6 linked regions of the Sus scrofa genome follow. The main gene of each other region encodes a partner of the protein of the gene in region 3 in a complex. Links are inferred from orthologs where the notes say so. Each region holds a gene or a part of one and is shown on either strand. Other genes may lie near its edges.

What was found.
Region 1: POLR3E (region 3) and POLR3F share a complex: the UniProt entries of both Homo sapiens proteins name them as parts of the RNA polymerase III complex. The link is inferred for Sus scrofa from reciprocal best matches to the Homo sapiens genes POLR3E and POLR3F.
Region 2: POLR3E (region 3) and POLR3D share a complex: the UniProt entries of both Homo sapiens proteins name them as parts of the RNA polymerase III complex. The link is inferred for Sus scrofa from reciprocal best matches to the Homo sapiens genes POLR3E and POLR3D.
Region 4: POLR3E (region 3) and POLR3C share a complex: the UniProt entries of both Homo sapiens proteins name them as parts of the RNA polymerase III complex. The link is inferred for Sus scrofa from reciprocal best matches to the Homo sapiens genes POLR3E and POLR3C.
Region 5: POLR3E (region 3) and POLR3G share a complex: the UniProt entries of both Homo sapiens proteins name them as parts of the RNA polymerase III complex. The link is inferred for Sus scrofa from reciprocal best matches to the Homo sapiens genes POLR3E and POLR3G.
Region 6: POLR3E (region 3) and POLR3K share a complex: the UniProt entries of both Homo sapiens proteins name them as parts of the RNA polymerase III complex. The link is inferred for Sus scrofa from reciprocal best matches to the Homo sapiens genes POLR3E and POLR3K.

What each region holds. Positions count from the first base shown.
Region 1 is NC_010459.5:26,725,839-26,729,338, reverse strand, and holds part of POLR3F (DNA-directed RNA polymerase III subunit RPC6), read right to left. Parts: intron 1,673-3,500; coding exon 1,605-1,672; intron 1,164-1,604; coding exon 1,143-1,163; intron 1,019-1,142; coding exon 951-1,018; intron 1-950. UniProt on the Homo sapiens protein: DNA-dependent RNA polymerase catalyzes the transcription of DNA into RNA using the four ribonucleoside triphosphates as substrates.
Region 2 is NC_010456.5:6,524,013-6,527,019, forward strand, and holds part of POLR3D (DNA-directed RNA polymerase III subunit RPC4), read left to right. Parts: intron 1-235; coding exon 236-770; intron 771-1,250; coding exon 1,251-1,419; intron 1,420-1,764; coding exon 1,765-2,030; intron 2,031-2,749; coding exon 2,750-2,902; intron 2,903-3,007. UniProt on the Homo sapiens protein: DNA-dependent RNA polymerase catalyzes the transcription of DNA into RNA using the four ribonucleoside triphosphates as substrates.
Region 3 is NC_010445.4:23,863,632-23,867,131, reverse strand, and holds part of POLR3E (DNA-directed RNA polymerase III subunit RPC5), read left to right. Parts: intron 1-1,873; coding exon 1,874-1,981; intron 1,982-2,318; coding exon 2,319-2,368; intron 2,369-2,688; coding exon 2,689-2,808; intron 2,809-3,500. UniProt on the Homo sapiens protein: DNA-dependent RNA polymerase catalyzes the transcription of DNA into RNA using the four ribonucleoside triphosphates as substrates.
Region 4 is NC_010446.5:99,491,338-99,495,525, reverse strand, and holds the start of POLR3C (DNA-directed RNA polymerase III subunit RPC3), read left to right. Parts: upstream 1-1,388; 5' UTR 1,389-1,724; coding exon of another isoform or gene 1,725-1,826; 5' UTR 1,827-2,310; exon of another isoform or gene 2,311-2,354; intron 2,355-3,318; exon of another isoform or gene 3,319-3,323; 5' UTR 3,324-3,343; coding exon 3,344-3,490; intron 3,491-4,017; coding exon 4,018-4,188. Other genes in the region: E3 ubiquitin-protein ligase RNF115, read right to left, coding at 1,725-1,826. UniProt on the Homo sapiens protein: DNA-dependent RNA polymerase catalyzes the transcription of DNA into RNA using the four ribonucleoside triphosphates as substrates.
Region 5 is NC_010444.4:97,658,256-97,661,755, forward strand, and holds part of POLR3G (DNA-directed RNA polymerase III subunit RPC7), read left to right. Parts: intron 1-258; 5' UTR 259-291; coding exon 292-408; intron 409-3,500. UniProt on the Homo sapiens protein: DNA-dependent RNA polymerase catalyzes the transcription of DNA into RNA using the four ribonucleoside triphosphates as substrates.
Region 6 is NC_010445.4:41,570,297-41,574,528, reverse strand, and holds the start of POLR3K (DNA-directed RNA polymerase III subunit RPC10), read right to left. Parts: upstream 2,801-4,232; 5' UTR 2,757-2,800; coding exon 2,568-2,756; intron 1,206-2,567; coding exon 1,118-1,205; intron 484-1,117; coding exon 356-483; 3' UTR 1-355. UniProt on the Homo sapiens protein: Core component of RNA polymerase III (Pol III) which synthesizes small non-coding RNAs using the four ribonucleoside triphosphates as substrates. Can mediate Pol I proofreading of the nascent RNA transcript.

The sequences.
Region 1 (3,500 bases), on a different chromosome or scaffold from region 3:
GGTTACATCATAATTGTTGAAGCTAATATCGGTGACTCAAGTAGATCTTAAATTATAATATTAGCAAGGGCTACTATAGTCTTCAAGGGCAATAGAAAAGGAACTAAATAGCTGTTGAAGAAACTACATCAGACACTGCCATACTGCACTAGGCATCCTCTGGTTTGTGCAAAAACCAGAGATGTTATTGTCCACAATTTACAGAGGAAAGGAAGAAATAAAGGTTTCTAAAATTTAGAAAGTGAATACTGGAGTTCCCGTTGTGGCGCATCGGAAACAAATCCAACTAGGAACCATGAGGTTGCGGGTTTGATCCCTGGCCTCACTCAGGGGTTAAGGATCCCACATTGCCGTGAGCTGTGGCGTAGATCACAGATGAGTCTTGGATCCTGAGTTGCTGTGGCTGTGGCGTAGGCCAGCAACAACAGCTCCAATTAGACCCCTAGTCTGGGAACCTCCATATGCTGATGCTGCGGCCCTAAAAAGACAAAAAAAAAAAAAAAAAAAAAAAGAAAGTGAATATTAAAAAAAAAAACCCTTAAGTTTGCACTGAGGGTTTGGGACAGAAATGCTATAAAATTGGGTTGTAATGATCATTGTACAACTAAAACAAACAAACAAAAAAGCCCTTAAGTTTTAAGTTTTAATTTATTTATTTTGAATGAATAATACATTCACATGATTCAGAATTTGGACATTTCTTTCCATCCCTACCCACAGCCATCTGGTCCCTGTCTCCCTTCAGGCAACAAAAGCATCACTCCTGAGTGTCCTTCAAGCCTATGTACATTACACACACACACACACATTTTTTACATTTTTTTCCCCTTTTAACACAAATGGCTGCATACTCTCCTGACTGATCCATACCCTGGGAAGCCAGGATCTCAGTTCCTATATCTGGTCCTAAAGACGATGGTTTTTTTCTGCTTGTTCCTGCACATGCTTACCTTTATTTCCCGCATCCTCTATGATTTGATATACTAGTTTCTCTTGATTATCTGATCCTTTCATTTTACTGCAGGGGAATAAAGTAGAATTAAAAAGGCAAAGAGGTACAGGATAATCTAATAATCTACACAACTAAATGAATCAGCAGACAAGGTCATCACATTTACTGATTTACCAAAAGAAGGGCTTACCTTAAAAAGAATGAGACAGGGCTGTATGTACCAGAATGAAAAGATGTCCATGATATAGTAAGTGAAAAAAACAAGTTGCAAAACAGTATGGATAGCATGATCCAATTTTTGTTTAAAAAAAAAAAAAAAAGAAAAGAGATTATATATAAATATATGGAATATAAATATATAATCGTCTATATGTATTTACATATACCTATAAGAGATTATATATAAATATATGGAATATAAATATATAATCATCTATATGTATTTACATATACCTATAAGAAAGATATATACCACTATATTAATAAGAGCAGTTATCTCTGGGAAATGGAACTCATGATGGGAGGTGAGATGATTATGTAGGACAGATTTACATTATGCTTTACTTTATGCTGCACTGGCTCCCCCACCCCCCAGATTTATACTCCTTTCATGATATTAAAATTTTCTTAAAATAAAAAATTAGGTGCTTACCCAGCATTCTGAGAGTCCTTTATTCTATACAGAAGGCCTGTATTGCTTCTTAAGAGATCCAACTGACCCTAAAGTTGTTTGTTTGTTTGTTTTTAAAAGAAAATAGCAGTGAGTTATTTGGGAGATAGATCAAATCCAATGATAAACACATTAATATATTCTTCAATAGTTTATATGGATTAAAATATCCTACCTCCCATAGTTATTTGTCAGTTTCTCACTTGAGACTTAAGCTTCTTCCTACGTATCACATGTGATATATTTTTAAGAACTTAGCTCTTTATCTCATCATTTCCCAAAACATTAATACCTAATAATTTTCTACATGCTTGATCCTGGCTTGGTTATATGATCAATGCTTTAAAGAATTTTAAACAAAAGTCAGAATAACAAATAAAAATCCATATTCAAGCAAATTCAGTTAAGTGTATCAAATATAAATACAATAATTTACCTAAAATGTTCAAATAAAAGCTAAACATGCAAAAATAGTCTATGAAAGTGATGAAGTAAAATTTACAAAGTTAATAGTAACATTTACTGATGTGTGTGATTTCTGAAATGTTACATGAAAATTAGGTGGAAAAGTCGACCAGTGAATAAAAGGCTTGCAGTAGTTTTGTTTTTATACAAGTCAAAAGTAAAATAAAGCATGTCTGTCATGCTTCTGCATTTCTCTGGTTCTGAACTTGGAAGAACCCAGATGGCTGACCACTGGGCTGTCAGCAGTTCAGGGAAGTATGGCTAAGAGAAGCCCCGTTTCCATGGGTTAAGGCCAAGCAGACCCATGACCTGGAATCAGGTTTACATAAATGGCTTAACAGCAATACTTTCCTCCCACTCCGGCCCCAGAAGTGGAAAAATTGAACCACAAAGGCCAATCTGAAGGCTCCATGAAAACTGTCCTGGATATTTTTGATGTGAACTGCATTAAATCTTCAGACTGCTTTGAGTAACAGGGATATTTTAATTATATCTAGTCCATGAACATGGGACATCTTTCCATTTCTTTGTAGTATCTTCCATTTCCTTCATCAGTGTTTTACAGTTTTCAGAGTTAGGTCTTTCACCTCCTTGGTTAAGTTTATTCCTAAGTATTTTATTCTTTTTATGTGATTTTTAAGTGAGATTTTCTTGTTTCCTCTTTTTGATAGTTCATTATCAGTGTATAGAAAAGCAATAGATGTCCAGATATTAATCTTGATCCTGTGACTTTACTGAATTCATTTATTAGTTCTAATAGTTTAGGGTTTTTTTGAATGCACCTGCAGCACAGGGAGGTTCCTAGGCCAGAGACTGAACCTGTGCCACAGCAATGACAACACAAGAACTTTAACCCACTGAGGCACAAGGGAACTCTCAGTTCTAAAAGTTTTTTTTGTTTTGTTTTGTTTTGTTTTTGTTTTTTGCTTTTTAGGGCCACACCCATGGCATATCGAAGTTCCCAGGCTAGGGGTCAAATCGGAGCTACAGCTGCCAGCCTACGCCACAGCCACAGCAACTCGGGATCTGAGACTTGTCTGGGACCTACACCACAGCTCACAGCAATGCTGGATCTTTAACCCCATTGAGTGAGGTAAGGGATTGAACCCATGTCCTCAGGGATCTTAGTAGGGTTCGTTTACCACTGAGCCACGAAAGGAACTCCCTGGCTTTTATTATGTTAAAACACGTTCCCTCTATAACAACTTCAATGAGGCTTTTTTTTTTTATTATGAATGGATGTTCAATTTTGTCAAATGCTTTTTCATGATCATACTGACAGTGTCACATGATTTTTAGCCTTCCTTTTGTTAATGTATTACACTGATTTATTTGTGCATACTGAATATTTTCACATCCTTAGAATAAATCCCATTTGATCATGCTGTATGATCCTTTCTGTGTATTGTTGAA
Region 2 (3,007 bases), on a different chromosome or scaffold from region 3:
AGTTCTAATACGTGATCTCGAACAAAAAGGTAAAGCAACGGTAAACTGAAAGGACTTCACCTCATCAAGCAAGTGAAAAGATGCTCGACTTAGGATTGGGGGTTCTGCTTCTCATGATGTACTTGTTGGCTCATTAAATTCTCCATACAGTTGGAACGGAGTGGTGTGGGAAAGTAAGACCAGTTCTCGGAGGCAGGGAAGTGAGTGGTTTTATTTTGCCCCTTCTCTTTTCCAGGCCCAAGGAAGAAGTAGCAGTCAAGAAGGAAAAGCGTGAAAGGGATAGAGACCGACAGCGAGAGGGCCATGGAAGGGGCCGGGGGCGCCCAGAAGTGATCCAGTCCCACTCCATCTTTGAGCAGGGCCCAGCTGAAATGATGAAGAAGAAGGGTACAAAGCTGCCGGGGCTCTGGGAGGAAGGAATCAGTGGCTTTCAGGTCCAGCTGCCCACGAGGAGGGCAAGGGCAGTGGCATTCCCCTGCTTGCTCCCAGTTAGCTCTCCTTGCTGTTGGCCTCTTCTTTACTTCTTGCATCATTTCCCACAGGGAACTGGGATAAGACCGTGGACATGTTGGCCTTGCTGTTGGCATGTTGGACATGCCTCCTTGCTGTTGGCCCCTTCTTTACTACTTGCGTCATTTCCCACAGGGAACTGGGATAAGACCGTGGACATGTCAGACATTGGGCCCTCTCACATCATCAACATCAAAAAGGAGAAGAGGGAGACGGACGAAGAAACAAAACAGATCCTGCGTATGCTGGAGAAGGATGATGTAGGTACCATCAGGCTAGGGGGAAGGGGCTTCTGGGGAGCCAGGTCGGGGAGAAGAGAGCTCTGATGTCCTGAAAGCCCCGTGAGTAGCAGGAATCTTCAATTAGGAAAAGGCTAAGGTGGGGAGTTCTCAGTCGTGGCTTAGTGGTTAGTGAACCCGGATAGCATCATGAGGACATGGATTGGTCCCTGGCCTTGCTCAGTGGGTTAAGGATCCAACATTGCCATGAGCTGTGATGTAGGTTGCAAATGCAGCTCAGATCTTGCGTTGCTGTGGCTGTGGTGTAGGCCTCGGCTACAGTTCCGATTGGACCGCTAGCCTGGGAACCTCCATATACCACAAGTGTGGCCCTAAAAGGCAAAAAGACCCCCCCCCCAAAAAAAAGGCTAAGGTGGGGGAAAAAAGGGGCGAACGTGGACTGCACTCCAGGCAAATGTGTTTGCGGGCCTGGCTGTGTGACCCTTGGCTCCTCTTTGACAGTTCATCGATGACCCTGGCCTAAGGAATGACACTCGAAATACACCTGTGCAACTGCCACTGGCTCACTCAGGCTGGCTTTTTAAGGAAGAGGATGAAGAAGCAGATGTTAAACCCTGGCTTCCTGGCCACAAGGAAGAGGACATGGATGTGGACGGGCCTGCTGTGAAAGGTACTCTGTGTCAGTTAATGTCTCCTTTCCTTTTCTGTGCCTGCCCCACCCCCTCTCTGGGAATGAGCCTCCCAGACCAACTCATAAGGCAGTCCAGCCGTCAATACAGGACCTGGCCACGGGCACTAAATTCTCACTCTCAGCAGGTTCCTGGCAACAGGAGTTGGTGGGCCCAGCCTCAGATACCTCTTTTTATGTAACTCCTGGATCCTTCTCTGTAAACAGAGTTTCCTTCCAGCTTCCTGGCTGAATGACAGTGGAGCAGACCGAGGCGAAGGGGTGGGTGCAGTGAGATCATGGGTGATGGCCACTTGATAGCACTTCCATTTCTGTTGTCTTGGGCAGTGAAAGAAGAACCACGAGATGAGGAGGAGGAGACCAAGGTGAAGGCTCCTCCCAGAGCCACCCGGAAGACCCCGAGCCTACCGAAGGACGTGTCTGTGGCAGAGCTGCTCAGGGAGCTGAGCCTCACACAGGAGGAAGAGCTGCTGTTCCTGCAGCTGCCAGACTCGCTCCCTGGCCAGCCACCCACTCAGGACATCAAGCCTGTCAAGACGGAGGTGCAGGGCGAGGATGGCCAGATGGTGGTTATAAAGCAGGAGAAAGACCGGGTATGCTCGGGAATGAGTTCTGTGAAGATGCGGGGGCACTGAGAGGGGACACAACCACCCTTAGGGGAAGCAAAGGTGTGCCTCCTGTCCTGAAATGGGAGAACAGTATGCATTTGTTCTTTCTGCATGTAGGGGCCTTGGGGCTTTGCACTTCAACCCCAATTGTATGTGTTTCCTTTTCACAATGGAATATTTTGAACATACACAAATGAGAGAACGTAAATTCTTGTGTACTATCACCCAGCTGCAGCAGTTGCTGGTATTTTGCTCCTTTGCTGGTGTTTGCTGTGGGTGGGGTTTGGTTTTTTGACCAATGGCAGGCAGCTCCAGGAAAAGGCCCTCTTTGGGGAGCTCCCCCCCCCTTTTTTTGTCTTTTTAGGGCCACATCCGCAGCATATGGAGGTTCCCAGGCTAGGGGTTGAATCGGAACTGTAGCTGCCAGTCTAGCCACAGCCACGCCAGATCCAAGCCATGTCTGTGACCTATATACCACAGCTTACGGCAAAGGCAGATCCTTAACCCACTGAGTGAGGCCAGGGATTGAACCTGCATCCTCATGGATACCAGTGAGATTCATTTCCGCTGTGTTATGACAGGAACTCCCTGGGGAGCTCCTTCTCACCTTTGCTGCTGCTGCCTTCCTGTAGGAAAGGGTTCATTATTGAAGGATGGAAGAGACGGCTCCTTACCTGGTTTCCATCCCCTGGTTGTCTTCATAGGAAGCCCGCCTGGCAGAGAACACCTGTACCCTGGCTGACCTGACAGAGGGCCAGGTTGGCAAGCTGCTCATCCGCAAGTCAGGGAAGGTGCAGCTCCTCCTGGGCAAGGTGACTCTGGACGTGACGATGGGAACCGCCTGCTCTTTCCTGCAGGTGAGGGCCCGCCAGGTCTCTCTGAGGCTCTTTAAGACATTGAGGATGGTTAAGGAATTGGTGTGGAACATGGGGAGGAAGGGAAGTGTTCAAATCATAGGGCTG
Region 3 (3,500 bases):
TGGTAGAGAAAAGTGGAAGCGCTCCAGAGGTCCATTGGGCTGCTGCATGGGTACCCAAACATGGCATAGCCGTGGATTAGAATATTCTTTAGCTGTCATAAGGGGAGAAGTACTGATACACTCCATCCTGGGTGAGCCTTGGAATTGAAGCTAAATGAAGGAAGCCAGGCACAAAGGACCACCTGTCACATGATTCCATGCGCGGGAAATGTCCAGAATAGGCAAACCCATTGCGTTAGTAGATTCGTGGTTCCTCGGAGCTGGGAGGAAAGGGGAATGGGCCATGACTGCTGATGGGTGCAGGGTTTCTCTTTGGGGTGGTGGAAATATTCTAAAGCTGATTGCGATGCTGGTCGAACAGCTCTACGAATGCATTAAAATACATTGAATTGTATGCTTGAAATGGGTGAATTGTATGGTGTGTGAATTAGATCTCAGTAGACCCCTAGCCTGGGAACCTCCATATGCCTCGGGTGCAGTTCTAAAAAGGACAGAAAGAAAAATAAATAAATAAATAAATAAAATAAAAAAGATAAAACACTAAGGAAATAAACCAGGATAGGATAAAAGTAATGTCAAATAACTACACTCTTCTTTTTTTTTTTTTGGTCTTTTTCTAGGGCTGCACCTGCCACATATGGAGGTTTCCAGGCTAGGGGTCTCATTGGAGCTACGGCTGCCGGCCTACACCACAGCCACAGCCACACCAGATCTGAGCCGCATCTGTGACCTACATCACAGCTCATGGCAATGCCAGATCCTTAACCAACTGATCGAGGCCAGGGATCAAACCTCATGGTTCCTAGTCGGATTCCTTAACCACTGAGCCATGACGGGAACTCCTACACTCTTCTATTTCGAACCCATGTCTCAAGGATATAGTTCTGCTCCCTCTGGAGGCCCAGAGAGCTTCCCCAGAGCTGTAGCTTCTGTCTGATTTCTTCTCTTTTAAGCTTACATTGACTCGATTGAAATCTGTTATCTTTGCACTGGCTCCCAGTGCACAGGTTTGATTCACAAGAAAAGGCCATGGTGTAGACACTCCTCCACCTGGCTCCGCCAGACCTCTTCTCCAGCCCCATTCTCACTAGCCAGTTTCTTAATAGGATGGGTGGAATTTTTTTTTTTTTTTTTGGTCTTTTTGCCTTTTCTAGGGCTACTCCTACGGCATATGGATGTTCCCAGGCTAGGGGTCTCATCGGAGCTGCAGCTGCCAGCCTACACCAGAGCCACAGCAACACGGGATCCGAGCTGCTAGTCTGTGACCTACACCACAGCTCACGGCAAGGCCAGATCCTTAACCCACTGAGCGAGGCCAGGGATCAAACCCGCAACCTCATGGTTCCTAGTCAGATTCTTTAACCACTGAGCCACGATGGGAACTCCCAGGATGGGCAGAATTTTGACAGGAAGAGGTGGGAGGGTGAGGATGTGTGGGGGCGGTTAGGGAGGCAGAGAGGGTGGTCTGGCAGAGGCCTGACTGGGGGAAAGAGCAGGGCGTGTTTGGTGTGGACAAGTCACCCAGTATGGCTGCAATAAGCAGTTGTGGGGAGAGGAGTGGGGACCAGGGTCGGAGGGCCCTTGAGTGCTGGCAGAGGAGGGCTTGTAGGCAAGCCTTAAGGAAGTGGCTTTGAGCAGAGGTCTGGGTTCATGTCTCCATCCAGTTTGTGTGCTTGCTGTGCCTAAAGGGGCCTCATCAGGTTGGGAATGGCCATCAGCCTAAGACTTGGGACTAGAGCAGAGGTGGGAGGTGGCTTGGTAGTGGGCCGAGGCCTTTAAGGGAATCTGGGGCCCTTGGTAACTCCCTTGAGCCAAGCTGGGTGGGTCAGCCTCAGCTCCCAGAGTCAGGTCCAAGCCCTTCTTCCTCTGCCAGGTGAGCTCCACCTGACACCTTTACATGGCATCCTGCAGCTGCGGCCCAGCTTCTCCTACCTGGATAAGGCTGACGCCAAGCACCGTGAGAGGGAGGCCGCTAATGAGGGTGAGCTCTAGACCCCCAGCCCTGCCGTGTGTCTGGATGGGCTGCTCATGGGAAAAAGTATTAAAGGGGTGGGTTACAGCATCCTCTACCCACTGGCTGTGAGTGGCCCCCACTCCCATGATTTTGACAGTGAGAAATGTCTCTGAATTCCCAAATATCTCTGGGCTGGGGTGGGGGGGTGGGGCAGAGTCACCCCTAATTTAGAACCACCGACTTAAGCAGTGGTTAATGCTCTGTCTAGCAGGAGGATTCATGGACACTGTGGTCTGAGGCCTGCCTGGTGGGTGGAGTGGAGAGCCACCACCAGAGGCTGCAAACACGGCTTTTCCCTTTGCAGCAGGAGACTCTTCACAGGACGAGGCAGAAGAAGATGTGAAGCAGATCACGGTGAGCTCAGGCCGCAAGAGAGAGCTCAGCCTCGGGGGCAGCAGGGCCGGCTTGGTAGTTCAGCCGCCTGGAGGCAGCCAGGGTTGGGAGGGTCAGCGCAGAGCTGGGCTCTGGGGGTGAAGCCGGCAGAAACAGGCCCCGTCTCTTTGTGCCTTCCTGCCGGACTGCCTGGGGGGGACAGTCTAACCTCTGCCCAGACTGAGCTGGGGGGAGTGGGAAGTTTTCCAGACGGAGGGTTCCCTGGCCTCCTGGTGGGTGCTAAGGCGGCAACCCAGGAAGTGTCCCAGGCCTCAGGTTGTGACCCTGCCCCCCTTTCCCAGGTGCGATTCTCCCGGCCGGAGTCGGAGCAGGCCCGCCAGCGGCGCGTGCAATCCTATGAGTTCCTGCAGAAGAAGCATGCCGAGGAGCCCTGGGTGCACCTGCACTACTGCGGCCTGAGGGTGAGCTGGTGCCCAGGCAGTGTGCCCTGTGGCCTGACTGACTCTAACTTATTCGAGACTCAGCTGTAGCCACTTGGTAATGCCACGGGGAGAGGGGTTACGTCTGTGGACAGTTTGTCCTCCGTTCTTGCCTTTCTACCTGGTGTGTGCTCTGAGCGAGTTGCGCCTGCTGTGTCACTGGTGGGGGTTGTGGCCACCTGGGCTCTCCTGAGGGTGAGCATCTTGCTAGGCTCAGAGTGGGCCTGGTGTTTGGTTATGTACCTTTTTGCATCATGGTTCCTGAATGAAAGCTAGATGCTTCACTGGGCGCTCCATGGAGAATTGGCCATCTGTTCCATGGCCAAGTTCACTGCATACCTGCCAAGGGTGATTTTTACTATTTTTGACTTAGAACCCAGTCCTCGGAATTGTGTATTGAGTCAGGGAAGCAACTGAATATTAGCTATAACGACTGGGAGAGAGCAGCTCCTGATTTCTCTGGAAACTTCCAGACAGATTTATGTTGACAGAGCCTTAGACTTTGGGTCAGACTTGCAGAAGCTCTGCTGTTTCCTAGTGTGTGACCTTAGGCAAGTTACTTAATCTCTCTGAGCCTCCATTTCCTTATCTGTACAATGGGAAGAAGAATAATAATACCTAACCTCGTAGTTATTTGGGGGCTGAGATGAGTTGGTCTAGGTATACAGCCCTTA
Region 4 (4,188 bases), on a different chromosome or scaffold from region 3:
GCATCAAACTAAGGCTTAGAAAAACACCTAAAAAGTCTTTCAAATGAGCCCTTTTCAAGAGCACTTTGAAGTGAGGACTTGAGATGGTAGGGAGAAAAGATACAGTAAGTGGAGGAAAGTTAGACTGTTTTCTCACTCTCAAAGGCAAACGGTGAACAGCAACTTAAAGATCAGAATAGCCAAGGCCTCACTGTTCATTAGGGCATCACATTCAACATGTCACTCATCACACATGCACTGGCTGAATTCCAGACTCCCTCTCTGTGGTAAGGAAGAGTTCTGGAGCCTCCAATGTCCACTGGAAAAACAAACAAACAAACAAACAAGCCACGGCACCTGCTCTTCTCAGCACTGAAGTATAGCAAAAAGCACACAGACACAGACACACAGCCAAATCATCCAAGCAAAACTAAAAGAGCGTGTAGATGAAACTACGACCATGAAGTTAGGGGTGGGGCAAATAGAGAAGAAAGAAAATACAGCAAAAGCCTGAAAAAGCACAACTCAAGTGAAAAGGCTAAAATACTGTTTAGGCACTTTTCACTGGACTCCACTGGTGTTTCTAAGAACTAAGACACAGAGACACACTTTAATAGGCTTTCTCACAGATTGTATCTGAGACACTATAAACACTGAGATAAGTAGTTACACAGACACCCTCTTAAGGCTGAACAAAGATACTTCTAAGGAAAAGAACAACCATAACTAGTTCTAAAGATGGTTGGCCAAAGGTAGGATTAACATTCACCCTGGTGGATCTCCCTGCAGTAGTAACTCAACCTAAAACAGCCTCTGGGCTTGGGGTGCAATAGCTGGCAAGCATGCTGCAGAAGCACTTTTTTTCCACAGCCAACAGCACTACCTCTCTAGGGGCTAACACAGTCTGGCAGAAACTGACGAAAACCAATTTTACGTCAGAGGATGCAGTCCCCAACATTCTGTCCTAGATCTTCTCACTAAGTGAAGAGAGAGAATGGGGGAGGGGAAGGAGGGGCGGGTAAGGCAGGTGGTGCTAAAGATACTGGCAGCATGACAACCAAAATAAGAGAGTTGAAAGAATATGTTCTGCCTTCTTCCTAAAGCCATTTCCTTCGACAGTGATTGGGATCGCAGTCCGCAAGTCATTAGTACACCGCTGTTTTCACTTTCACAAGAACGCTGGAAACCCCTGAAGAGTAAAATCCCCCTCTCTGCCCAGTTACCTTCCAACCCTCCCTCCCCCCCCCGCCCCGCTTTCTTCCCTCCTTCCCTAGAGACAATGAATAAAGACAATCCTCAGCAATCCGCTATATTGCTTCAATGAGGATAGTGGAAGGGGAGATCTGATGAAAAGTGGAAAAGGAAATAAAGATGAGAAGCAACAGCGGAAGGGGGGGGGAGGTCATTGTGGAAAGAGACAAGGTGAAGAAGAATGTAAGAAAACGGAGAGGAGGGGGTCAGCAGAAAACTTGCTAAGGAAAACCAGGAAAAAAAAAATAATAGAGGGCAGGTAAAAAGGGGAAAGAGTGAGGGACAGGTGGAGCATCCGAATGGAAAAAAGGCTGGGCGGGAGTTACTGAGCCACACAGCCCGGACGCCCGGGGTTTAGGAGACAGTGGGCAGCAGGTACCTGGGATACCCATGTCAGGGGAGTCGGGGCTGTGCGGGAAGCCTAAGCGCCGTTCTGGGACATCCGGACGAGGAACCCACGCGGACGCTGGCGTGCAGAGGACACACACTCTTACCGGTAGTTTGGGGCTGACCTCGCCCTTGCAAAAGTGGCAGAAAAACCGGTGCGCGGCAACAGCGGCGCCTGCGCCGGCCCCGGCCGCCGAGGCCTCCGCCATTTTTCTCTCCCGGCGCCGCCGTCCGAGAGGGCAGCCGGCCCGTCGCTCCCCAGGCCGCTACCTCCCGGCTACAAGAGACGCCTCTGCCTCCGCCGCCGCCGCTTCTTCAGCGCAGCTGGCCGCTCCAGAGTCCGCGCGGGTCACGTGAGCCCGCCCGGCCCACAAGGCGTCGGCGAGGACGGCGACCCCACGGCCCGCCTCCCGGCACCAAAGAGCTACAGGAAGGAGAGTCCGTCCGGCGCTGCCCTCCCGCCGGCTCCTCTAACACCCCTCGCCGGTCCTCCAACCTCCCAGCGAGAAGGAAGCAAGAGCGTCCCCGGAAACCACCGAAACGCTGGGGTAGAGCGGCACACGTTTTTCCTCTTTGCTGACCCTCCTCGTTGGCCGGGCTCCTGCGCAAAAGGGCCTTGGGGTGCCTTCTGCTCGAGCCGCTGGCTGGAGCCGCACGAGGTCGGCGGCGGCTTTAGATTGCATTGACCCAGAGGTTAGTGGAAAATGCGGTCTGAATGAGGCCGTTTCTCTAGACCCAGGGACCCAGTCCGGAACCGGAACCTGGGGGAAGGAAGTGTAGAATCAGGAGCCAGGTTCCTTGGAAATCCTTATCAAGGATGGCAGATGGTCTGGGGATACTTCCCCAAAGACCTGTGAGTGGGAATACTGAGACTGAAAGACACAGTCTTGGCTTCTGAGGGATTGGGAGAAATAAATGAACAGACCAGTGTGTGGTAGCACTTATGACAACAAGTGATTTTATAGTCAACTATGTTTGTTTCTTTTTGTGTCTACTTTGTCAAGGAGTAGAAATTTCAGAATACTGCCCTGCCAACAACATGCTTCATCTGTTGTTTGAAACACTCTGTTGAGACGCTCCTAATTTATTTTGCAAAGTTGTCATTTCTTACGGATTGGGAATGACACTTCCTGTTCACTCCCAATAGGCTGTGAATAGTGTCCTTAATTCCTCCAAATAAAATCATCTACACACGATATTTAAAGAAAATTGGACTCGTACATCCCATAAGGATAAGTTTGATATATTGTCTTGCAGTCTTTTTTTTCTTATACCTATAAGAAAAAAGGGGGTTTTTTTTTCACAATAATTTAAGTTTCTTCTACATTTTGCTTTGTAACCTGCTTCTTTCACTTAATGAACAATTTTGTACACTAATACATGTTACACTTCATTGTAAACATAGACGTAGTATGCCATTGTATGAGTCTACCATAATTTATTGAAATAATCCCGTATTGTTAGATATTATATTGTTTCTGGAATGTCAGTATTCTAAAGTGACATCATTATTATTCGCTTGAAACAAAATAGCCAAAGCAAAAGTATTAGGTCAAAGATATGCAAGATTTTAAGGCTTTTGACGTATCTACTGTCAAGTTGCCCTCCAAAAAGTACATGAATTTACACTTAGCAGCTCTACTCCAACATAAAAGAAAAACTTCCCATCGTGCTATTTTTTCTTTTCTTTTCTTTTCTTTTCTCAGGTCTGAGACTTCTCAGTACAATGACTCAAGCAGAAATTAAACTGTGTTCTTTATTGCTGCAAGAGCATTTTGGAGAGATTGTAGAAAAAATTGGAGTCCACCTAATCAGAACTGGCAGCCAGCCACTAAGAGTTATTGCCCATGACACAAGAACATCGCTGGATCAGGTATGTTTGGATCACACTAATTTGCTTTTATTTCATTAGTTTCCTTTACCTACCCTTGAATATTACTACTCCCCACCCCACAAAATACAAAAGAGAGCTACACTGAGATCAGAACAGTGTCATTGGGAGGGAGAGAGGATGAGACATAGTGCCTAAGGTTCTGCTTCTCAAAGCGATCTGGCTCACTGTGGCTTCTTAGGCAAACCTGTGCTTTTCATTTGCCATACTTCATTCATGCATGATGAGTCTATTAATTTCAGCACTACCTTTAAGGAATGGCAGTAACAGAGAGCAAGTAAGTTGTACTTTGTAAGATAAAGATCAGAGGAAATATGAGCTAGGAATCCTCCTGATTTCTTCATAAGATGAACAATGCGATTCTTAACAGCTATTCCAATGGAGAGAGAGAAGATGCACGGAGGTTCCAGCCATCTCCTGAAGTTTAGTAAATTGTTGGACAGAAATTGCCAACAATAATGAACTGCATTTTCCAATTTTTTTTTCTCTTTCTTTTGTGTCCTCTCTAGGTTAAAAAAGCCCTTTGTGTCCTCATCCAGCATAACCTGGTGATATATCAAGTGCACAAACGTGGTGTGGTGGAGTATGAAGCCCAGTGCAGCCGGGTGTTGCGAATGCTTAGGTATCCCCGGTACATCTATACTGCCAAAACGCTGTACAGTGACACTGGAGAGCTGATT
Region 5 (3,500 bases), on a different chromosome or scaffold from region 3:
AGGAGACCCAGGGTCAGCCCTCTACCCAGGATGTAGGTGAAGTAGTTGAGTCCATCATCATCTTACCTACCAAACATGACTAGATGTGACAGGATCAGGGATCAGCATATCACATATTTATGCCTTTACAAGGTGTGCTTTCCAGAAATGTTTCAAATGGGCCATGCTGTTTAAGGAGTGAAGTGTATTTTGTTTTAAGATGTTGGTTTCATTTTTCATGTGATCCATCAAATCTTAATCATTGATAATGTCTTTCAGAATTTGCCTACTTTTCTGGTATAACAATTTCCAATGGCTGGGAATAAAGGAAGAGGACGTGCTGCTTATACGTTTAACATCGAGGCAGTTGGATTTAGCAGAGGTGAAAAGTTACCCGATGTTGTATTGAAACCACCTCCACTATTTCCTGTAAGTACATTAACAGCGAAATTCTCAGAATGTCTTTTCATGTTTCAGACAAAATTTAAATTGTATATAGGACTTGAATGTATATCGTTATGTTATCTTCTTACCCTCTTACAAGGAAAAGAAGAGAATATAAAAGAGTAAAGGAGGATATGTTTCACTTACCTTTGAATTTATTCACTGTTTTCTGAACCTTTCCTTTTTCTTTCTTTCTTCCTTTTTTTTTTTTTTTTTTTAAAAGCATGCCCAGGCCAAGGATGGATCCCACACCATAGCAACAATTGAGCCATGGCAGTGACAGTGCTGAATCCTTAACCCACTAAGCCACCAGGGAACTCCTTTATTTATTGCATTTAATTTTTTTAAATTGAGGTATAGTTGATTTACAGTGTATTCTGCTGTACAGCAGAGTGATTCAGTTATACATATATGCACTCTTTTTTAGAAAATACTCTTTTCTATTATGGTTTATCATAGGACATTGAATATAGTTCTCTGTGCTCTATAGCAGGATCTTCTTGTTTATCCCCTCCATGTATAATAGTTTACATTTGCTACCACCGATCTTCCACTCCATCCTTCTCCCAGCCCCCTCCTGGCAGCCACAAGTCTACTGAACCACTTCAAATTATCAGCATGCTTTCTTAAAATACAAAAAACTGGAGTTCCCATCTTGGCTCAGTGGTTAACGAATCCGACTAGGAACCATGAGGTTGTGGGTTTGATCCCTGGCCTTCCTTAGTGGGTTCATGATCCGGCATTGGCTGTGAGCTGTGGTGTAGGTCGCAGATGAGGCTCAGATCCTGCATTGCTGTGGCTGTGGCATAGGCTGGAGGCTACAGCTCTGATTAGACCCCTAGCCTGGGAACCTCCATATGCCGCAGGAGAGGCCCTAGAAAAGGCAAAGACAAAAAAAAAAAAAAATTCAAAAACCTATATATACCTTTCCCTGAATATATTCAGTATTTTGTGAATTAAGAAAGAATTTGTTTCTCAATTCTTATATCTTCTAGTGCTATTAATGATACATTCCAATGTCAGAATATTTTTAAAAATACAGTTAGATCTTACAGTGGTCCTTACTTCCCATTATGTCTGACCTTCATTTAATGATTTTTCTTCTCATCTTGTATCCATAAATTTAACTTTGTTTCCTAGTATACCACTTGGCCTTTTTTCCCCACTGAACTTTTTTTTTTTTTCTTCCTTATTTTATTAAAGTCAGTTTGAATTTTATTACTGTTTATCAAAACATAAGCACATCTATTACATTTAGTAATGAGTATACTGCATACTTAATTGGCATCATTTTTAATCTAGTGCTTTCACTTTAGTTTAAAATGTAAGCTTACAGGGAGTTTCCTTGTGGTGCAATGGGTTAAGCATCTGACATTGTCACTGTAGCAGTTTGGGTCACTGCTGTGGTGTGAGTTTGATCCCTGGCTTGGGAACTTCCACATACCATAGGCGCAGCAAAAAAAAAAGTAAGCTTATCTTATTAGATGCATATTTGCTATAGTATAAAATATGAAAAAAATCATAAATAACCCAGTACTCCCTCCAAGAATCTTTTCCCTCTTTCAAAAGGAAACATCCTTTATTGAAAGATTTATGTAAGTAGAGGACCCTGGACAAACATATTAGGGATCTAGATGTTTCACATAGGGAGTGTATACTTTTTGCTCTTGATATTTTGCCTTTTTGATATTCAGTACAGCCTAAAAACAAAGATAATTACCTCAGGTATAGACATAATGTCAGTTTACACTGACTTCTTTTAAAATAAGTTCCTTTTCATGTGGGAGATTACTTCTAAAGCCTGGGAATGTTGGTGCATATTGTCATTTTATATATGGAGTAAAATTGAAATTCCTTATTACTGGCTTAAAGGGCTTTATCTGCTCTGGCCTTTCTGATTTTTCTCTGACCCTTTTCCTACCACTGTCCTTCTCTCCTTAGCCATCCTAGTCTCTTCGTCCCCTTAGGCATTTTCCTCTGCTGGTTTCCCTGGCTGGAACCACTGGTTTCGCATTTCTTAATTTTATCCAGATCTCTGCTCGAGCATGACTTCCCCAAGAGGATGGGTGCTTACTCTGCCTAGACCAGCCTCTTCCATGTACTCTGTCAGTCGCTCTTTCCTCTTCCTGGCTTCAGTCCTTTTATGCCACTTAGCACTATCTGAAGTTATGTATGACCTCATTTGTTTACTTCCTACTGTGTTTTTCTTCCCTAGAATGTAAATTTCATGCAGGCAAGAACTTTGAGGAGTTCATCGTGGTGTCTCCTGTTGTCCAGCCATGTGTGGCTTATAGTAGGAACTCAGTAAATAATTGTAGAATGAATGAATAAATTCAGAGTGAAATTTTTAAATGTACCCTATACTTAGCCTTTAAAACCAGAAATGTTTTCATTATGTACCCTGAAGACCCACTTTTTTATGAATGTATATTATGAGTATATATACATACATGTATACATATGCGTGCATGAATGTAATTTTTTAAAATTGAAGATACAGATTCAAATTTCTCCTTTGCCATTTATGTGTTATGTGAGCTTATGGATTATTCAGTTCTCATTTTTCTCACTGTAAAAGGGGAAATATTGATGATACTTTACATGAGAACATGAATTTTGAATATTAAGTATATCCAGGTTGTAGTAACCACTGGTTAAATGGTATCTGCTACTATTTCTTTCTTTCTTTCTTTTTTTCTTTTTTTTTTAATGCTATTGCTTCTCCCAGTAGCACTACTACTGATTGAGATTAATAGGACTCTACAGCAGTTGCTCTTATTTGGGTGCCTTGATTTTTAAATATAGAAGCACAGTCAAAAGACTATATAACAGAATGGTTATTGGTGTGATCAGGAAGAAAACTAGGGGAGATAGAAAACTAAGTATCTTTCCTACTTCTAAAATAAGCAGAAAGTAGGAAATGGGTGAAAAGATTACAAAATTAAATAGATTATAGATTATAAAAGCTCAAAATCTTTTAGGTTGGCTGAAGAACTTACTACCTGTAAAATGTGATTTTTCAATAAAACTGACATTTTTTAAATATAGACAAAAGAGATATTAAAATAGTTAATTAA
Region 6 (4,232 bases), about 18 Mb from region 3:
GTCAAAGCCCCATTTTCTTGGGTGTGCCAACATATAAATAAATGTTTACGAGCGTCAGCTGGTGGCGAGAGAAAGCTCACTGCCCACTAAACGGGAAAGATGGATAACAGGACCCTAAATAAGACGCACTTGGTGTGGCCACTGCCCCCAAACACAAGTTCTCCCTGGACGTCAGCAAATTCATCCACTGCCTGGGCGATGGGGGCCATCTCCTGGCCCCCCGGCCGGGCCACTCTGAGAAGGCTGGCTTTCTGCCACACCGGCAAAGATGCTCAGAACCCGCAGTTCCCTTCCAGCTGGGAATCCGCCCTGGGGAATGAGGTGAGCAGATGCTGGGCAGCGGGGCCACCCGGCCCTAGTCCCTCCAGCGGTGTCCACACTGAGCATTGCAGCACTTGTAGAAGGTGGTCATGGGCTCGTCGGCAGAGCGGGTCTGGAGCTGCATGAAATAGGCCCGAGGATGCTCACACTTGGGACACGGCTCTGGCGTGAGAAAAACAAGGGACCCACGGTTACTTCAAAAAGGATGCCCAGTGTGGCACAGAGGCTGAAGAATCCGACTGCAGCGGCCTGGGTTGCGGCTGCGGCGCGGACCAAGTCCCTGGCCGGGGAACTTGTGGCATGTGGAGGTAGCCCAGAAAGGTCACGGTCATAAGGCAGTAAGCCACCTCAAGATTCGAAATCAGGTCTGAACAGCTCCAAAGCTTGTGCCGACACTGGTTTTGGAACAAAGAAAGTATCAAGGAAGGAGTTCCTGTTGTGGCGCAGCGGAAACGAATCCGACTAGGAACCATGAGGTTGTGGGTTCAATCCCTGGTCTCACTCAGTGGGTAAAGGATCTGGCCTTGCTGTGGCTGGGGTGGAGGCCAGCGGCTGCAGCTCTGATTAGACCCCTAGCCTGGGAACCTCCATATGCCGTGGGTGGGGCCCTAAAAAGCAAAAAACAAACAAACCAAAAAAACCACCACATGAATAAATAAAAATTTCTAAGAAATTATTAAGGAAGAAAATATAGACTTCCTCTTCGCAGAAGCACAAGCAGACTGCCACGGAGGGGCAGAGTCAGCAGCCCCGTACCATCCACAGCTCTGCCCGGGAACAGGCCTCTCCCTCTCACCTGCGGTGGAGTCGACGTTCTCCCAGGCAGCTGCTCCACCAAGCACGTCATCCACTTCTTTCAGCTTTGGGTACTTCCGATTCGTTACCTAACAAACAACAGCCACTCTTCAGTCTCTCCAACTGACTGAACCGCACACCCCAGGATCACCTAACCACACCTGCCCGCAGGTGTCTGGCTTCTTCCACCCTTCAACCCGGACGGGAGGGGTACTGGACAGGCAGAGGCCCTGCTCCATCAGAACTTAGAGGACCCATGATTGGACTGCCCCAAGAGAAGGTCTCTGCAAGGACTGGACAAAGCAAGAGGAGCAAGAGAAGCATGGCTCGGGTATGGCCCTCCTCTTCTCCCACACCCCCTAAGGCTGGGTAGCCCGAGACGAGGCCCCAGAGAACTGAGGCCAAAGAAGGGCAATCTCAGCCGGGGAGCCGCCCCCCCCCCCCAGGCTCCGGGCAGAGCTTTCTAAGCACTTGCCAGGTTCTACCAGCCGTCCTTGACCTGTCGGGGTAGGTAAGAGTCCACCCTCCGCGTCGTTTCAGACCCTAAACTCCCACAACACGGCCACATGGCAGGACACTATACAAATCTATACAAATACTAAGGAGAAAGTAGCACTTGGGAGTTCCCTGCTGGCTCAGCGGGTTACCGCCCTGGTTCTGTCCCGGTTCTGTCGCTGCTGTGGTGCAGGTTTGCAGGTGTGGAAAGCGACATAAGCAAAAGAAATCTTGGTGACTCCATTTTGCTGAAATGCCTTCCTGCAACCCCCCCCCCTTCCCTCTTCTCCCAGTAACAGTTTGTTTCAAATTAGCCAACTGGGAAGAACGTGCACCCTGACCTGACCCACGGGAAGGGGACAGGGTACATCCCCTGTGTTAGGGATAAACAGGGGAGGGTCCTTTGTTCGGGGCACGCGCACTTTTTGGGGTGCCCAGCGCCCTTCTGCAGCAGTAAAGAGCCTTGTCGAGATCTCCCCGTGTTCACGTGCCTCATTTTTCGACAATGACGATCCGAGCCACGTCCCCAGCACAAGGAACTTGTGCATGCCAGGGTGCCGGGGGCGCGGCCAAAACAAAAACTAAACAAACAAAAAGAAAGAAAGAAAAGAAAGTATACTGGAAGGCAGTGAGCCCTATATGAAAAATAAAACTAGGGAACGGAAAGGCCGCATTTATATAAACAATCCCTTAGGTAAATACAGGCAGGAGTGACAGGAACGAGTGAGTCCCTAGGGGAAGAGCGACTAGAACAGAAAACTCCTGCACAGACCCTGGAAGCAGCGCCTTGGGCAAGACCGGGGCGCCTCCGAGAGGCTGGCGGTGCGGGCAAGAGGCTGCTGGGACGCGAAACCCAAGCAGAGGACGGAGCTAGGGGAGGTGAGGGTCAGGGCCTGGCGCGCTCCGCGAGAACGACGGCTGCGGCCCTGCGTGCCGGGAGGCCGGCGCGGACCCACCTTGCGGGTGATGTTGTGCACATAGGGGCAGGTGTTGCAGGCGAAGCGGTGGCAGCGCTGACCCTCCTCCACAATCAGCCCGTTCCCGCAGCCTGGGCAGAAGAGCAGCATCACGACAGCCCAGCCTACGCTCCCTGCAGCTCCCTGGCCGTGGACTCCGGGGGCTTCCGGGCGCCCCGAACTCCCCATTGGTCCCGGCGGCCGCCTCTCAGCAATCAGCCCACCAGTAGGCACGTCGGCTCCGCACTCCCAGTGTGCACTGCGGCAGGCTGGCTCCCAAAGCATCATTTCTCATTGGTCCTGGCGGTAGCCCCGCCCCTCGACCAAAGGCCGGGCCGTGGGTGGCTTTCCCCGCGGGAAGCCCGGGAATCCCGGGCCCGGGTCGCGAGAGGCGGTGTGGGGGCGGAACCCGCGGGCTGCGAGGCGCCCTGGAGGTGGCGGGGGCCTCGGGACGGCCAGAGCCGCAGGAGGACGAGGAGGATGAGGAAGAGGCACTGCCGCACTCCGAGGCGGTGGACGTTTTCCAAGAGGGTCTGGCCATGGTGGTGCAGGACCCGCTGCTCTGCGACCTTCCGATCCAGGTGCGCATGGGTCGGGGCCTCTTCCCCCGCTCCGGAGCCCAGCGTCAGGGAGAGGACCGATTCTGGGGTACCGATGATGGCAGCGGCCCGGAGACCTCCAGAAGCGGCCTCAGGGCGTAAACGAGGGTCTAGGCTCCGACTGGGCCTGGGAGGCGAGCGAGGCACTGGTCTCCGGCGCGGCATTTACGAAGGGTTCCCTGGTAGTCTAGCGGTTAAGAACTCCGCCATTGTCACTGCTGTGGCTCGGGTGCTGCTGGGCGTGCGTTCGACTGGCAGAGGAACTCTCGCATGCTGCGGGCATGGCCAAAAAAAAAATAAAAAAGGAGCGCCAAAAACCCGCTAGTCAGGACACATGACATTTCAGTATAGTGTTTTGGTTGGTTTAGGAGGTTTTTTGTTGTTTCGGCTTTTTGTTTTTGTCTTTTTAGGGCCGCACCTGGGGCATATGGAAATTCCCAGGCTAGGGCTGGAATCCGCTGGCCTACACCACAGCCACAGCAACTCAGGATCCAGAGCGGCATCTGCGACCTTCAACACAGCTCATGGGCAACGCAGGATCCTTGACCCACTGAGTGGGGCCAGGGATGGAAACTCCAGTACAGTGTTTTTAAAACTCAACATTGGTTTATAAAGACCTAGGGTAAACAAAATGATATCATGTCAGATAAAAAGACCAGTATTAAAGATTTCTGGAGTTCCCATCATGGCTCAGTGGTTAACGAATCCGACTAGGAACCATGAAGTTGCAGGTTCGACCCCTCCCTGGCCTTGCTCAGTGGGTGAAGGATCTGGCGTTGCTGTGAACTGTGGTGTAGGCTAGTGGCTACAGCTCCGATTAGACCCCTAGCCTTGGAACCTTCATATGCCGCCAGTGCAGCCCTAAAAAACCAAAAAAATGAAAAATAATAAAGATTTCTCCATTCTCCTCAGGCTTCAGTATGACCTGGCACACTCCTGTTTTTAAATCTTTGTATTTTGCCCATCATGAAAATGTTAAATTAGTTTGTTTTCTTGATAGTGGTATTCGTCTTCTGTTGCCCCGGTAAATGTTGCACCCCTGCCCCAGCCTTGCCTGGGGCCCCAG